Astyanax mexicanus: one gene and its partner. The protein of the gene in region 2 purifies or fractionates together with the protein of the main gene of each other region. This does not show direct contact. Links are inferred from orthologs where the notes say so. Each region holds a gene or a part of one and is shown on either strand. Other genes may lie near its edges.

Region 1 (7,914 bases), on a different chromosome or scaffold from region 2:
GGTAAAAATAAGAATTTAAGAGTAGGAATCATAAAATCATAGGTAAAAAAATAAGCTAATAGAACTAATAAAAATTCAACTACTGATGAATAAATAAAACTTAACACATAAAAGAGTAAAATATAAATAAGCAATAACTAAAAACAATAAAAGAAAAGAAACAAAACAAGCTAGGAAAAAAACAACTAAAACTTACCAAAGATCATAAAAAACTAATTTCCACGGCTATTCTATGCTCCTATCGTTTGCACTGTAAGCCCATTGGAAGCATCAGCCAAAAGTGCTGTATTTCAGAGTGCTGGGGGTGAATGGAGGTGGGTTACTTCAAAAAATGTCATATTTGTTTTTATGTTTTGCTACAACCCAATTCTATTTTACACCAGGGTTCCCCTTTAAAGCTGAATTAGGGTCACTTTGAACAGAGAAACAGTAAAAGTAGTTTTCCACACAGATTCGGTTTAGTCCCAAACTATTACCCTCAGTCCGCAGGGTAAACTCAGCCTGAGACTATGCCTAATCTGCACTATCCTGCAGGACCTGCAGCGTCCTGGTCTCCTGCATGGGTCGGGTCAGAACAGTACAGCAGTTTAAAGGGATATTTCTTCCGATTCTTTTATTAGAGACTCCTGTGACGTGTATCTGATGCCTGGTGAATCGTTGCCAGTTGCTCGCATGTTCTGGACTGATCTATGATTTCTTTTGGATGCCCGACTCATCTGATGGCCTGATGCTGGAGAGACCAGTGCATTATGTAGCCTGACGAAGCAAAAACACCCCCCGGCCTGTTCCGGCAGGCCTACGAGGTTACACAATGTTCCAGATCGATGGTGGATCCAGCAATTTCACCAACATTTGAGTGATTATACTGTATGCAAAGTAAATATGAACAATAAAAAGAAACTATTTACCAAAAACAATTTGTGCTGCTGGTGTCTGAGTGCTGAGTTTGTATTGTTGTTTTTTTGTAATTTGTTTATTCGGTTTTTTAAATGATTGGTTAAACAGCTATGGAGGAACCAAAACTGCCAAAATTAAAGTAAGTAAATCACTCAATAAAAGTAATATGGTGATGTAAAACAGTAAGGAATAATTATGATTAATATAAAAATATATACATATACATACAAATAAAATCTTAATAATTTAAAATATGTTAATAATTTGTTTCTTTATTTTTTTTATTAATTTATTTATTTGCATATTTATTTCTGCATTATTTACAGATTTATTTATTTCTGTTTTTCCTTGTCCTTATATGATAATGAAGGGGGCGTGTTTTTCACGTACAGGTTTAGCAATCAAGAAAGAAAGGAGCTGATATGAGTAGAAGAGTCCAGGAGCTGAAACGTCGGGGAGAAGTTTGTTATCGGATCTGCTCAGAGAGGCAGTAGCTTATGTTGCTCACCTCAAAGAAATAGACCAGAGTCTGTATTACGATCTAAGTGATCTTCATTAAATAATTTTCCACGTTACCAAAGTTACTGCCAAAGGAGCAAAAAATGTACAATCCATCTAGGGTATCTGACATCGATTAACCAATAGGAATGCTAAGACACTGTGACATCATTACTGGACAGACCTCTCATTATCATATAAGGACAAGGAAAAACATAAATAAATAAACCGGGAAATAAATGAATGCAGAAATAAATAGTCATGTTAATAAATAAACAAATGAATCAAAATAAAAAAATATTTTAAATAATTTTAATAAAGACACCCCTAAATAACAATTTATACATAAATAAGATATTTATTTTTATATTATTTATAATTATTCTTTACTATTTTAATCACCGTATTACTTTTATTGAATGATTTACATACGTTTATATTTCTTTATTTATTTTTAATTTTGGCAGTTTTGGTCCTCCATAAACAGCATAGATCTCAGTTAACGCAGTGTTTTAAGTGAAATATATTATAAAAAAAAATAAAAAAAACTACAAGAGTAAAAGGGAAAAAATAAAGAAATAAAAGGCGGGAAATAAGAAAAAAGGTGGAAGAGGAAATAGAAAAACAAAACAAAAACCTTGACATATATATTTAGAGTACAACTTCTTAGCAGAGCCATTCATTGAGCACCTAATAGGAGAAGAGGATTTCTATCTATTTAGTATTAATCGTCTGGCCAGCAAAGTAAGTGCTGAGGTTTATGGGAGTATTAAGATTATTGCTGATTGTATTCTGTGAACATGTGACTGGTTGTTAAGCTGAATTGTATAAATATAAATATATTTTATGTAGTACGTACATGATTGGGGTACTTAAAAAAAGCTACTATTTTTCTACTATTAATATGTGTAATATCTGATACAAAATGTCTGTATATAATGTGTGATATATTGATTTCAAGTATGGACCCAGGCCCACATTTACTACAAAATGTAGTTCTACTTTTAAGGGGACCTATTATATACCATATTTTTACACAAGCTACAATATTGTAGATCTATGTGCTATACAAACATGTTCATTAAGTTTTTTTTAAGGAAAATCACACACACAGTCCCTTTCAGAATAAGCCATTAGGGCTCTGTCACTTTTATGCCAATAAGCTCTTGTTGGCAACACATGTTTACACTGAGCGTTTACCACACCTTAGTGTTAGCTTGTGCTAAATGGCATAACACTGTAATAGAAACAATTCTATAATTCATTATTTGAAAGTTCTTACATCTCCTGACTTGCAGCAGACAGTAGGTACAGATCCCTTCCTCAGACGAAGTCTGCAGGCTAATCCTGCTGTGTACCAGGGCTGGACTGGTAATCTGGTGTACCGGGCAAATGCCCGGTGGGCCGACAGTCCTTAGGGGCTGATGATTTTTTTCTTCGGCCCACAAATTAGAGGGGGTCTCTCTCTCGCTCCCTCGCTCGCCTAATCACGCGCTTTCTCTCTCTTTCTCTTACTGTCTCTCTCTCTCTTTTTCTCGCTCTTTCCCTTTTTTCTCTGTCTCTCGCTCGCTCTCTCTCTCTCTGTCTCTCTTTTTCTCCCTGGCTCTCTTTCTCTCTCGCTCTCTCTCTGATGTAAGTGATTGACACCACTTATATAATTTAATTGTATCAATTTAAAGCTGATATTTTTAAAAAAGAACACTAAAATGCATCCAGTAATAATGATAAAATATTAGTAGTTAAAGTAATGATGTTGTTTTTGTTTTTAATAAAGCGCCACAATCATGCCCATTGTTTGTTTGTTCTACCTAGATCAAAAGATCCTCTCATGATGAGAGTAGAAGTGAACCCTGGTTTCAAGCATTTAATAAAAGAGCTTGAGCCCTGTTACAACATTCCATCCCAAAAAAACAAAACATGACTAGAATAAAGTTAATTTTTATTATGAAGTTGATAATGGTGAGGCTATATAGAATGCCCTATTTGTAGCCTGATACAAGTACATGTTATAGCTGTTTAAAGGAGGAAGCACCTTTAACCTGAAAAAATAGAAATAAAACAAATACATATTAGAGATTATTTCAATAAAAAAGATAAAAAATCAATTGAACTACACAGAGCAGACACAAATGGCGGAGTTAAAATTAGACAATAAACGTGTTATATTTAATATGCTGATGATACATTATGCTTCTCTGTAACCCCACAAACATAAATTACATGTTGGTTGTGCTCCGCAAATTATGAGGGGCCGTTCTAAAGCAAAAATGCCAGGGCCGATTTTTTTGTCCCAGTCCAGCCCTGCTGTGTACTGTCTGAGGTTCTCAACCAGCAGACTGAAGTGGCGTTTCTTCAACTGATCTTGTGGGTGAGGCTCTGGTTAAGCATACATATATACAAAATACGTTTATGCATAACACTATTATATTATATGTGGGTTTTTATCCTTTAATAAATAAGCTGCAATTCTTTTTTTTTTTTTTCAAAAAACCCTTCAGCACAGCAGAGCATTTTAAAGATTTTAAATTCAGTGCTCTGGCTGTAGCATCAGCTCACCAACCAACCAATCAGCTCACAGTATCAGTGATGCAGCACCTTTACTGCCTAAAACCAGTTTACTGTAGAAAAACTGAATAATGTACAGGTAAGTTTTATACGCTTTTTTAGCAAAATCATTTTAATTTGAAAAATATATTTTTCGGAATATCCTGGCCAAATTATTAATTACTATTTTTAATTTGAGTTTTTAGCTGTTTAACTCCATTCACTCCCATTTATTGAGGACTCACTCGCTGGCTCCCTCTAGCGGTTCATAGTTATTTTCTGATATTAATATCAGAATATATGTATATATATATATAACTGATGCTCTCAAACACTTTATTAAGAGGCAAAAAATTCAACTAAGAGTAATTAGCTCTTTACAAGTTCAGCTGAACTGAAAGCCTGAATTTCAAGTGACAAGCTGACTGAAAAAATCCAGCAGAGATGTATAAATCTGACCATCTAAGCAAGAGGTGAAACTTTGAGGTATGTGAAATAAAAAAAACATATTCTGGTTTGTTTACAACAATTTTTCCATTATAATTTGTCTGAGTTTGGTATTAGTCTACAATGCAGAACATGTTGATACTGTATAGTAAACCCTGTTAAAACCAGGGATATTCCGCCAAATATTACTTACTAAACTCTTAAACTTTTTGAATATGAAGTTGTTTTCTTTGCATTATTTGAGGTCTGAAAGCTCTGCATCTTTTTTGTTATTTCAGCCATTTCTCATTTTCTGCAAATAAATGCTCTAAATGACAAAATTCTTATTTGGAATTTGGGAGAAATGTTGTCTGTAGTTTATAGAATAAAACAACAATGTTCATTTTATTCAAACATAAACCTATAAATAGCAAAATCAGAGAAACTGATTCAGAAACTGAAATGGTGGTCTCTTATGTTGCTGCACACAGCTGTATATGGTGACGGTGGCTGTGTGCAGCTGTTACTCCTGTCCAGCAGGTGGGGCTCTGTCTCCCTCCGCTCAGCGCCGGGAACCGCGAGGATCTACAGCACAGCATGTCAGAAGTCTGAGCGCGGCGGCTAAAACCCAGAAAATCCAACTTTACAGAGCCGAACAGAACCAGAACCGAGCCCGCTCCGCCTGATACAGCTCCCCCTGACCCGGTTCTGACCGACCCAGCGCCGCAAACATGAGTTTACTCGCTAAAATCGCAGAAATAGAGAACGAGGTTAGTGAGATTAGCCTGTTAGCATCGGGCCGCTACTCGCCTCCATTCATTTTTACAGCGCTTTATCTTCAATAAACTGATAAATACTCTTATTTTACTGCATTTATACTCACTGAGAAACTGTATTTAGCTGTTTATATTAATGTAGACCTTTTACAGTGCTCCTAATACTGCTAGGAAACACTGGGACCTGTTTAGAGTAAAAATATCTAAAATTAAATACTATAGAAACTATAAACATGAGCATATTACCACAAAATATACATCTAAAATTACGAATATTATGATGTTGTCTATTTAAGTTACTGTTCCAATATTTAAATAATGTTAAACATATGTATTGCAGGTTTAAGAAGCTGTAGTAGCATATATGACTGTAAATTATTGAGTACTGAAATTATTTTTGTAAAGAAAAAAAGTGTTTAACAAACCAGAATATATTTTTTAAAGTGGCACCTCTTGCATAACAGTTTTGCATATCTCAGCTGGATTGTCTCAGTCAGCTTTATGAGGTAGAGTCAACTGGAATTCAGGCTTTTAGTTAACAGCTGTGCTGAACTCATCAAGAGTTAATTACTTGAATTTCTTCTCCTCTTTATAAAGTGTTTGAGAGCATCAGTTGTAAAGTAGTGAAGAGGTATTGTTACAGGTATACAGTGAATAGTGAATATTTGAGTAATGTTCTAATCCAGATTATGAGAAGCAAGAACTACTCAACTAAATAATAAAAAACTCCTTTTAATAGAATAAAACAGTAAACTGTAGGAAAGAAAGTATCCTCAAGTGCAGTTTCTGCAAAGACCATAAAAAACGTTTTATAATGATGGAACTGGCTCTCATCAGGACCGCCCCAAGGAAAGGAAGAGCAATAGCAAGAGCAATCCTGTTGTACAGGATCAGTTCATCAAAATTACCAGCCTCAGAAACTGCAAGTTAGCAAACAGCTTCCAGAAAATAGCACCTAAACGTTTCACAGAGTATTTTGGTTTGTTTAACACTTTTAAGTTACCACATGCTTCCTTATGTGTTCCTTCATAGTCTGGATCACTTCATTATTCATTTACAATGTAGGAAAAACTAAAATAAATAAATAAATAAATTTGGGTGGGTTTCTGATGTTTACTGTTCAGAGTGCTGATATATGACTATTACATTTATAATATAAAGTGCTACAACTGTGTTTTATCTTGTACTACAGATGGCTCGTACTCAAAAAAACAAGGCCACAGCTCATCACCTGGGGCTGCTGAAAGCCCGACTGGCCAAACTCCGGAGAGAGCTCATCACTCCTAAAGGAGGCGGAGGAGGAGGACCTGGAGAAGGTACGAGCAGGGAGGCTTTTCTCTAAAACTGTGGAACTTCATATTATTAAGAAACTAAGATTAAGATTTATTCTAAAAACAGTGTAGAACTTCTAGGGTACACTTGTGATGATGATGATGATTATGTGTCTGTACACTTAGTTTACAGATTTGTATGAAGCAGCTATGAGAATTTTGGTTGTTTAATAATAAAGAATGTACTGAAATGAACATTTTGGATGTTTACATCAAGGTTCATATCAATTTAGTCCCTTTTTTTTACATTTTTATAAATTAAAAAGTTTATAAGTACTTTTGTCTTGCTTTTCAAAGCGAACATGAATACTCTGTAGAAATGACTTCGTCTTTTCTCTTATTGCCCAAAAATTAAAAATAAATCAAATCTAGTGTAGCTGCATATATTGCATATGTTTTTGTTTGCGTTGCATTTGCAAACATGCAAATCGGTAATCCGAATTGTTTAAAAATGATGTGATAGACCCCAATTTCCAATCACATGATCTTATTGGGAACATCCCTACTAGCAGTAATGTTTATATTGCAGTACCCAGACAGTCAGGGTCTCAAGCTCAAATTAATGAAGAAATACAGTTAAGACTAGTACAATAAATATAATATATAATATAATAAATTAAATAAGAAGAATAAGCTATGATAAGCTGAGTTCCTTATTAAAACACTAATTTTTATTTGTTTCAGGTTTTGATGTTGCGAAGACGGGTGATGCGCGTATCGGGTTCGTGGGCTTTCCCTCTGTGGGTAAATCCACGCTGCTGAGTAACCTGGCTGGAGTTTACTCCGAGGTCGCCGCCTACGAGTTCACCACGCTGACCACAGTGCCGGGAGTCATCCGCTACAAAGGAGCCAAAATCCAGGTTCTTACAACAGCTCTTACCTTTAAAACAGGCAAAACTACAGACAAAATCTGACTTCAACATCTGTCTTTATTAGAAGATATACTTTACACCATGTTTATACATAACAAAGTTTTAAACTGTCCGAAACTCCATAATCAAGTCTATTAGAGATCACTGAACACCTCCACACAACATAATGAGAGCCTGCGGTTATTACAGTGCTAACTAATGTGGTATAAAATTTCCATCAAGAGCTAAAATAGCCTTTTGTTTCAGCTGCAGGCACGAAATATGACTTTGCTGCTCAATTTTATTTTGGTTATTCATGATTTGAGAGAAATCATCTTAATTTTTTCAATTTACCTTTATTTTTACTCTGGGATATATTGAGGGTAATCTTAGCTGAGCCAAGTTTACAAACTAAAGGACTGAAAAAATAAGTAAATTAACATCAAAATCAACTTAAGCTAAAATAAGGAACTTAAAAAAAAAAAAACATTAAAAGGTAAAAACAATATAATCTTCAATTAATAAGAAATATAATAAAACAGAATACAAGGATAAGTGCACAGGCTAAAATGTAAAGCAGTAAAATAAAGA
Region 2 (7,124 bases):
TAGCGGATATCAGCTGCACTAGCAAAGATTACTCACTTGAGGTACCGTTTTTGTCAGGCCACCAGAGGGCGCTCCCGAGCGAGTCTAAAATGAATGGGGGCTGACAGACAGACAGACAGAGAGACACTTTATTGATCCCAGAGGGAAATTCTGGACATTCAGTAGCAGGTGTACATAGTGCACAGAAGTTTAAAAAAAGAATAAGATATAATTATACGTAAAAATACAATAAAATAGGAAGTATAAAATTGTGTTTTATAATGGACCAATTAAGTAAAATCGTAGTTTATAAATGTTTCATTATTTTTATGCTAACAAAGTACGCATTTTCCTTATTGCATAGAAGTATAGACTTTTAGAAGACTTTTTGACGTGCTAGGGTTAAAAACTCCAGTTAGCTTTTAGCTCACCAACCTGCCAGCAACTAAAGTAGCAGTAATGCTAGCGAAACTGTTGATAGAAAACTGTTTATTGTAGAAAAATATAAACGTACAGGTAAGGTGTCTTTGCTGTTTTTGGAGAACAGTTTGTTATATTTTTTTAATTTAAAGGAATATATTGGAAAAGTAGTTAATTAGTATTTTTAACTTGAGTTTTTAGCCGTTTAGCTCCATTGACTCCCATTCATTAAGGGCTCACTCGCGGGCTCCCTCTATCGGTTAAGAGTCGTTTTCTGATATAAATGGGGGATTATAAGTGGGCAGTCTCGCTAATAAAATCATAAATGCCTTAGTTTCGTGCTTCACGTTTCCGCTCAGTGTCACACTGTCCTCTACTGCTGTCGGCGAGCTGTAGGACAAACCGGCTGAAATCATGGTGTTCGAGGAGAAAATGATCCAGAACGGAGAGCCTGATGAGGTGAGGGATTATAAGATCCGCAGTTTATTAAAGACTGGGTTTTAGTTTGGTTATAGGGGGGTTATTTACTGTAACTGAGGTTGGTTAGGGGCCTGGAGCTCATCTGACGCCTTTCTGAAGCTGCTGAGGTTTACAGTCAGTTCATTCAGCTGATTAAAACTGATTAAACTGTTCTCTGTTGTTACACTGATCTGAATAATTACTAAATACAGCTCTACACAGTCTAATATTAATAATATTATTCTATAATGCAGCTCACAGATATCTTATTTCAGAAATAATTAGCTGTAAACTATATTATTGTCACTTTTAAGCCCATTTTATAATCACTGACACTGACAACTCTTAATATAATAAAAATACCCTTTTAACACCCTTTTAAAAATTAAAATTTCGACTGAATTTACTTTACTTCTAATTATCTTTATCCAAATACAGGTCAAATTAACCCACTATAGCATGTATAATACAGGTGCATTTCCAAAAAAATGAATATCTTAAAAAAAAAATACTTTATTTCAGTAATTGAGTTTAAAATGTGAAACTCATATATTATATAGATGTATTAAACACACAGAGTGATCTATTTTAAGCATGTATTTATTTTATTGTTGATGATTATGGCTTACAGCCAATGAAAACCCAAAAATCTGTGTCTCAAAAAATTAGAATATAATATAAGACCAAGAGTCAGCAGAGAGAAGCATGAAGTGCTGCAAGATTTTGTGCGAATACTCTGTACAGACTTTTGACACAGTGGATCAACACCAGCAGATGACATGCCTCTCCAAACCATCACTGATTGGTGGAAACTTCACACAAGACCTGGCTGGGTAATATTGTTTTAAAAGAAAACACACGTGTCGGAGGACGTTAAGTCCTGACCCTGATTGCAGGAGACTTGAGTTGAGGGGGGAGGGGTGGTTTAATTGGAGGAAAAAAAAAAGTTTTTTGGGGGGAAAAAAGAATAGATGGTTTCACTTAAGTGATATTTCTATTGATAGCAACTGAAAGGTCGTTTTAAAATTTAAATCTGAATATTAAATGCATTACTGTCTTCTCAAATAACTGTGTTTCTGTTTTTTTTTCTCCAAATTATTCCATTTAGGAAGAAGAAGAAGAGGATGAGGAAGAAATGGTGGTATGATAAATAAACACAATTTTACAATTGTTAAAAAAAAGCTTGTCGAGTTCTGGTCTGGAGGGGCCAGAATTCGGTGTACTAAATGATTTTTTTAACCATACATAGTATTTTGGCAGTTGTTGGTAAACAATCAAGCACTGTAGTATGTAATTTATTGTGTGTGTGTGTGTGTGTGTATGTGTGTGTGTGTGTGTGTGTGTGTGTGTGTGTGTGTGTGTGTGTAGGATCCCTTAGAAACAATCAGGCAGAAATGTGAGGAGACGGAGCACTGTGTTCACGCACGGGAGAAGCTAGAGGCTTGTGAAACCAGAGTGGGCTCTCGGTCTGAAACTACAGAGGACTGCACAGAGGAGCTTTTCGACTTCCTGCACGCGCGTGACCACTGTGTGAGTAGGCCGTCTTCCCCATCCCCGTTTAAAAACTCAAAAACAAAGTTCTCCATGTATCACTCCACCACATACAGGTAACATAGTAACGATGCAGCGCTTACAAACCAAAGAGCACTGCTACAAACAGAGCAGCAATGGAACTATTTTAACTGGCGCAGTGTTTATAAGAAAACAGATCATAGTTTCTCATCCTCTTTAATTAAAAAAATAATAATAAACAGTGATAATGGAGCTGTGGTATGATCACCATAATACACTCAAGGTTCATGCTATAACATGTAATATTGGGACAGTGCCAATATTACAAGTTACAGCATTTCCTTTCGTGTATTATTGGTTAATTATACATATTTAGAATGATAAGTCAAATTATGCATATTCAGTCTGAGATCCACAGTAAATCGCCTTTAGAGTGATGAAATACATAAGGCACTCCATCCAGCCACCGTTAATCCATCATGACCTTCATCAAACGTGAAGTATCTACATGCAGTTACAAAAAAGTGGAACTGGTAAAACTTCTTAAACCAAACAGTTTAGATGACAGGAGCACGCTGCAACTCTAGGTAGACTTAATGTAACAAAGTCCCTGTTTTTAGACTAGCAAATTAAAGATATGCTCCATCTTGAGTTGAATGAAAACCTACTACCATGCCCGGTGCTTTGGATCAAATGATCTTGATTTTATGGTGCATTAAACAAATAAAAATGACTGAATAATGACTGACTGTTTTGAGTAATTTGTAAGGACCAGTTCATCCAGCACTTTTAACACGTGCTAATATATGTTTTCTGTCTTCCAGGTGGCCCACAAGGTCTTTCATTCAGTCAAATGAAGACCCTCAGACCCTCTAGATGAACTTCTGCCCGTATCAATATTGAGTTCCACTGTTATTTCCAGTGATGTGATTGCTGAGTTTCTTCAGATCAGCCTACTGTACCTAACAGCTTGTCCAGTGTGTTTATGTTGATGAATTGTGAATACAATATTGTAATGTGTACATCTTTGCAATAAACATTTAAGTATATCAACTTCTTGTTGTCAAATTCCTGGTTAAAGTTATAAAGGCTATAACCTTTCCAAGCCCATAAACTGATTTCTCCATGAAAAGCATAGTTTTAATATTTAAATTTTTAGCCTTAATTGAGGCTGACATAAATGGATATGTTAAAAGATAATTGATGTGATAAAATCATATTTATTATACTGTAAGGCATCAATTTAATGTGATTGTCTTTGTAATGGCAAAAGCAGGACTACATGTCTGCTTGCATCCACAAATAGATTAAAGGTTCGGAAAAAAATGTGTTTTTGTAATTCTGTTTATTAATAGTCATTTTCAATAGTAAGTGAGCTATTTTTTTAAAATGATAATTATATATTTTTTTATTTGTACTTTAGTTACATTTAAAAATCTATCAATTGAGGTTTTGAAGCATGAAAATATTTTAAAATAATTAAACTATTGTTACTATTTAAAAGTCTGTCATTAAAATATTTTTACTAATTTATCAATTAAGTTTTTTTATTATTTGGTCTAAATAAATAAATACATAGTTAATAGTAACAATAAAAAATGTTAATTCTATTTTTTTACGTTTTCAATAACATTTTATAAATATATAATTTTAAAATTAGAATTCAGTTTTCCAGTGTGAAAATAAGGACTTTTTAATTGCAGTTTAAAGTCGTGACTTTTATTTTGAAGTGTTCGTTTGCTTGGTTGTGGAATATTCACAGGCTCAGCTAGTTTAGCTAAGCTAACTATAGAGATATTGGGAGGGAAATGTGTGGATATATTTCTCCTGTTTGTCTCTGATGAACAGATTTTTCTGAGGGTGAAATTAGTGAAATTGTGGAATTTCTGTAGTAACTGTGAGACCCGGGCAGCAGCAGCAGTATGTTATCTACCCTGGTGTCCCTGAGTATCAGAGCAGTAGCTCAGAATATGGACCTGCTGGAGCAGAAAATCCCTGGTAAAATTATCAAATTACACATTAATAATTCACTGATACAGGAGTGCTACACAAAATCTGTTTTAAAAATATGTGATAAATATTGTGGTGTCTTAAAACGGCAACATTAATGTAGAAGCATTTTTAAAAATATATGTATCCTAAAATAATTAACCTAGTTAACCTAACATCTTAAAATAACTTGGTTTTAAACTCAGTTACTAAGTCATTCTTGTGAAATAAGTTACTGTGTCATTATTTAGAGATAAATTATTATTTTTTTTTAAGATATTGCATCCAGATTGTAATTTTGCCTTCTCAATATTTTTTAAATTTTGCCATTTATTTAAGATACAAATCTAAAGTAATTACTTGGTGCCTCAACATAATGACTTAACTTTAGGTCTGTCACAATAACTGTGTTTGTTTTGACCATATACTGTCCCCCCCCCACCCCCCACCCAAAAAAATAAATTAAGATAAACAACATTATTGTAAATAAATAAAAAAACTATTTTAATCTTTTATAATTATTAAGATTAATTACTGGCTATTGAATATTTTAAATCATCATAAATAAATAAAACAAATGTAACAAATAAATATGCTGTTTTTAATGCTAGTTCATTTATATTATATCATTTATAATATTGAGGTCAGCAAAAATTATTGAGGTCGTGTAGGTTACACTTATTCATTTATTAATTATAAATTAATATCATAATTATCTTATGTCCTACTCAACATCCTCAGTACTAGTTATTTATTTTATTTTCTTAAGTCATTATAATGAAAGACTTTTTCATTCTTTTTATATTTTTTTATGTATATATATACATATATATATATATGTATATATATATATATATGAAATAAATTTAAAAGCTTTCTTATTTTGATATACTTTCTCTTTATATGTTTTTTTCATTTTTTTTTTAGACCTGTGTAATACTATTGGCATGACAATGATAATATAATGTACATTTTTTTCTAGATTTGCCAGCTTCACTTCTCAAAGATTTGTTGCCTCACCTGAACATGTTCTACCTGGACAGAATTGAAAAAACTGCACAACTTAAACGTAAGTTACTATAATAGTAACTTCTGTCTGTCTCACTCTTTCTATTATCCATCAGTGTCTGTGTAAAAATGGTAACTGACAAATGATCTGTTGTGATTGTAGGAATTTCTACCTCTCTCCAGATTGTGTGGGCAGATAAATGGAGGGATTTGAATCATACATGGCGTTGCAAGTTAAAGGTTGTGTGTTTTTTCTTTCCTTTTTGCTTTGACTTTTTTATTTTATTTAGTTGACAGGGACAATGCTCATTAATCAACAAAAAAACAACTGTAAATAAGCTGTAAAGGCTGTAGTCTCTGGCCAGCTCTATGCTCTATGCAACTACGCTTTTTAAGGAACCACTAAACCATATATTTCTTTCATTAATAGCTGAAATGTTTTCCTTTAAAGTAATGAAACATACCAATTCTCCTTAATTTTTTTTACAAAAGTGGTCTTGCTTTAGTTGAGGGGGATGTTACTACCACCCCGCATGTTACGTCCAACCATTTGCATCTCGCTGCTCAGCCCAATCAGCTCTCCCTTTTGCCCCGCCCCTAAACCTATACATCACTCAGTGCCCCTCCTAAACTACCACTTATTTTTTTTTATCATTTTTCAAATTGGAGCTGAGGGTGGAGTCAGCTAAAATCAGGGGGTTTAGTTACCCTTTAAATTCTTATATAAATGGTGATGCTGAAGACCTTATAATCAGTGCCATTATTTTATTATTATAAAAAAGTAGTAGAAATATCATCTGTAGTAAATCAAATATAATTTCAGTAAATTCTAAAGCACAAGTACTTCAGTCTTTCATCAGTGTAGCCTGTGCAGAAAATTAGTACCTTAATATTTTTCCATGTTTTTTTTTGTGTGTTATAAAAACACAGATTAAATGGCATTAGGAACTGTGTACATAAAAAATACACACATATAAAAACATATGGTTTGTAAGGGTCCAGATGCCTCCAAGCCCAGAAAAGCTGACACTCACTTCTGGATATGGTTATCATAAGGCCTCTGTTTTATACAGTAAAGTTTTATGTTGCCTTATGTAGACAAAGGTTTACCAAAGGAATCTGTTGCTCATGTGGGTCTATCAGCTTTTACTGAATGATAGTTCTTGATGCAGTGCTGAATTTAGCATCATCACTGTACATAAAACTACATTGTCAGTTGATTCCAGTGTGTGTTTACTAATTCACTGTGGTGTTTTATTGTTTCAGTTCATGCAGCCTGAAGAGAACTGGAAGCAGAAGTGTCTGGAGAGTTTGTTCCACATGGTTCTGTTGAGAAAGGCGGAAGTGCAGAACCTCCTTTCAAATCTGAGTGAACATGCAGTTCTGTCCATGTCAGCCAAACACGTGCAGGTGCTGACGCTCACGCTCGCCGTGCGAGGAGGCTGCCGGCTGGCTTCACCGGACCACCGACCCATTCTGTCCCTTCTGGAGAAGAGCGTGAGGTGTCTCAGGCTGTTTGATGCAGAGGCTCTTCTCCAACATGGAAATGCAGAACTTTTATTCGTTCTCCATCGTCTTATTGACCACGGCTCTGTGACTGAGGTGGTTCTGAAGAAAACTCCTGACTGCTCTCTGTTTAGCTGGATTACTTTCAGATGTAGAGGACCTTATAGGACCAATTCTCAGTCTTCAGCAACTACAGACTCCAGGGGTAGGCACTGCAATAATAACTATATTAAAATAATATTAACTGTAGT

The links. The genes of interacting proteins can lie anywhere in the genome.
Region 1: the proteins of lrrc41 (region 2) and drg1 purify together in Homo sapiens (affinity purification with mass spectrometry; 3 studies listed by BioGRID and IntAct, counting the BioPlex papers as one, with this or other methods). This does not show direct contact. The link is inferred for Astyanax mexicanus from reciprocal best matches to the Homo sapiens genes LRRC41 and DRG1.

Annotation. Positions count from the first base shown.
Region 1 is NC_064427.1:20,149,135-20,157,048, forward strand, and holds the start of drg1 (developmentally-regulated GTP-binding protein 1), read left to right. Parts: upstream 1-4,902; 5' UTR 4,903-5,096; coding exon 5,097-5,135; intron 5,136-6,333; coding exon 6,334-6,457; intron 6,458-7,156; coding exon 7,157-7,332; intron 7,333-7,914. UniProt on the Homo sapiens protein: Catalyzes the conversion of GTP to GDP through hydrolysis of the gamma-phosphate bond in GTP. Appears to have an intrinsic GTPase activity that is stimulated by ZC3H15/DFRP1 binding likely by increasing the affinity for the potassium ions.
Region 2 is NC_064412.1:53,953,943-53,961,066, forward strand, and holds the start of lrrc41 (leucine-rich repeat-containing protein 41), read left to right. Parts: upstream 1-4,116; 5' UTR 4,117-4,292; coding exon 4,293-4,368; intron 4,369-5,341; coding exon 5,342-5,428; intron 5,429-5,530; coding exon 5,531-5,607; intron 5,608-6,633; coding exon 6,634-7,078; intron 7,079-7,124. Other genes in the region: cytochrome b-c1 complex subunit 6, mitochondrial, read left to right, coding at 814-858, 1,967-1,999, 2,227-2,388, 3,195-3,227. UniProt on the Homo sapiens protein: Probable substrate recognition component of an ECS (Elongin BC-CUL2/5-SOCS-box protein) E3 ubiquitin ligase complex which mediates the ubiquitination and subsequent proteasomal degradation of target proteins.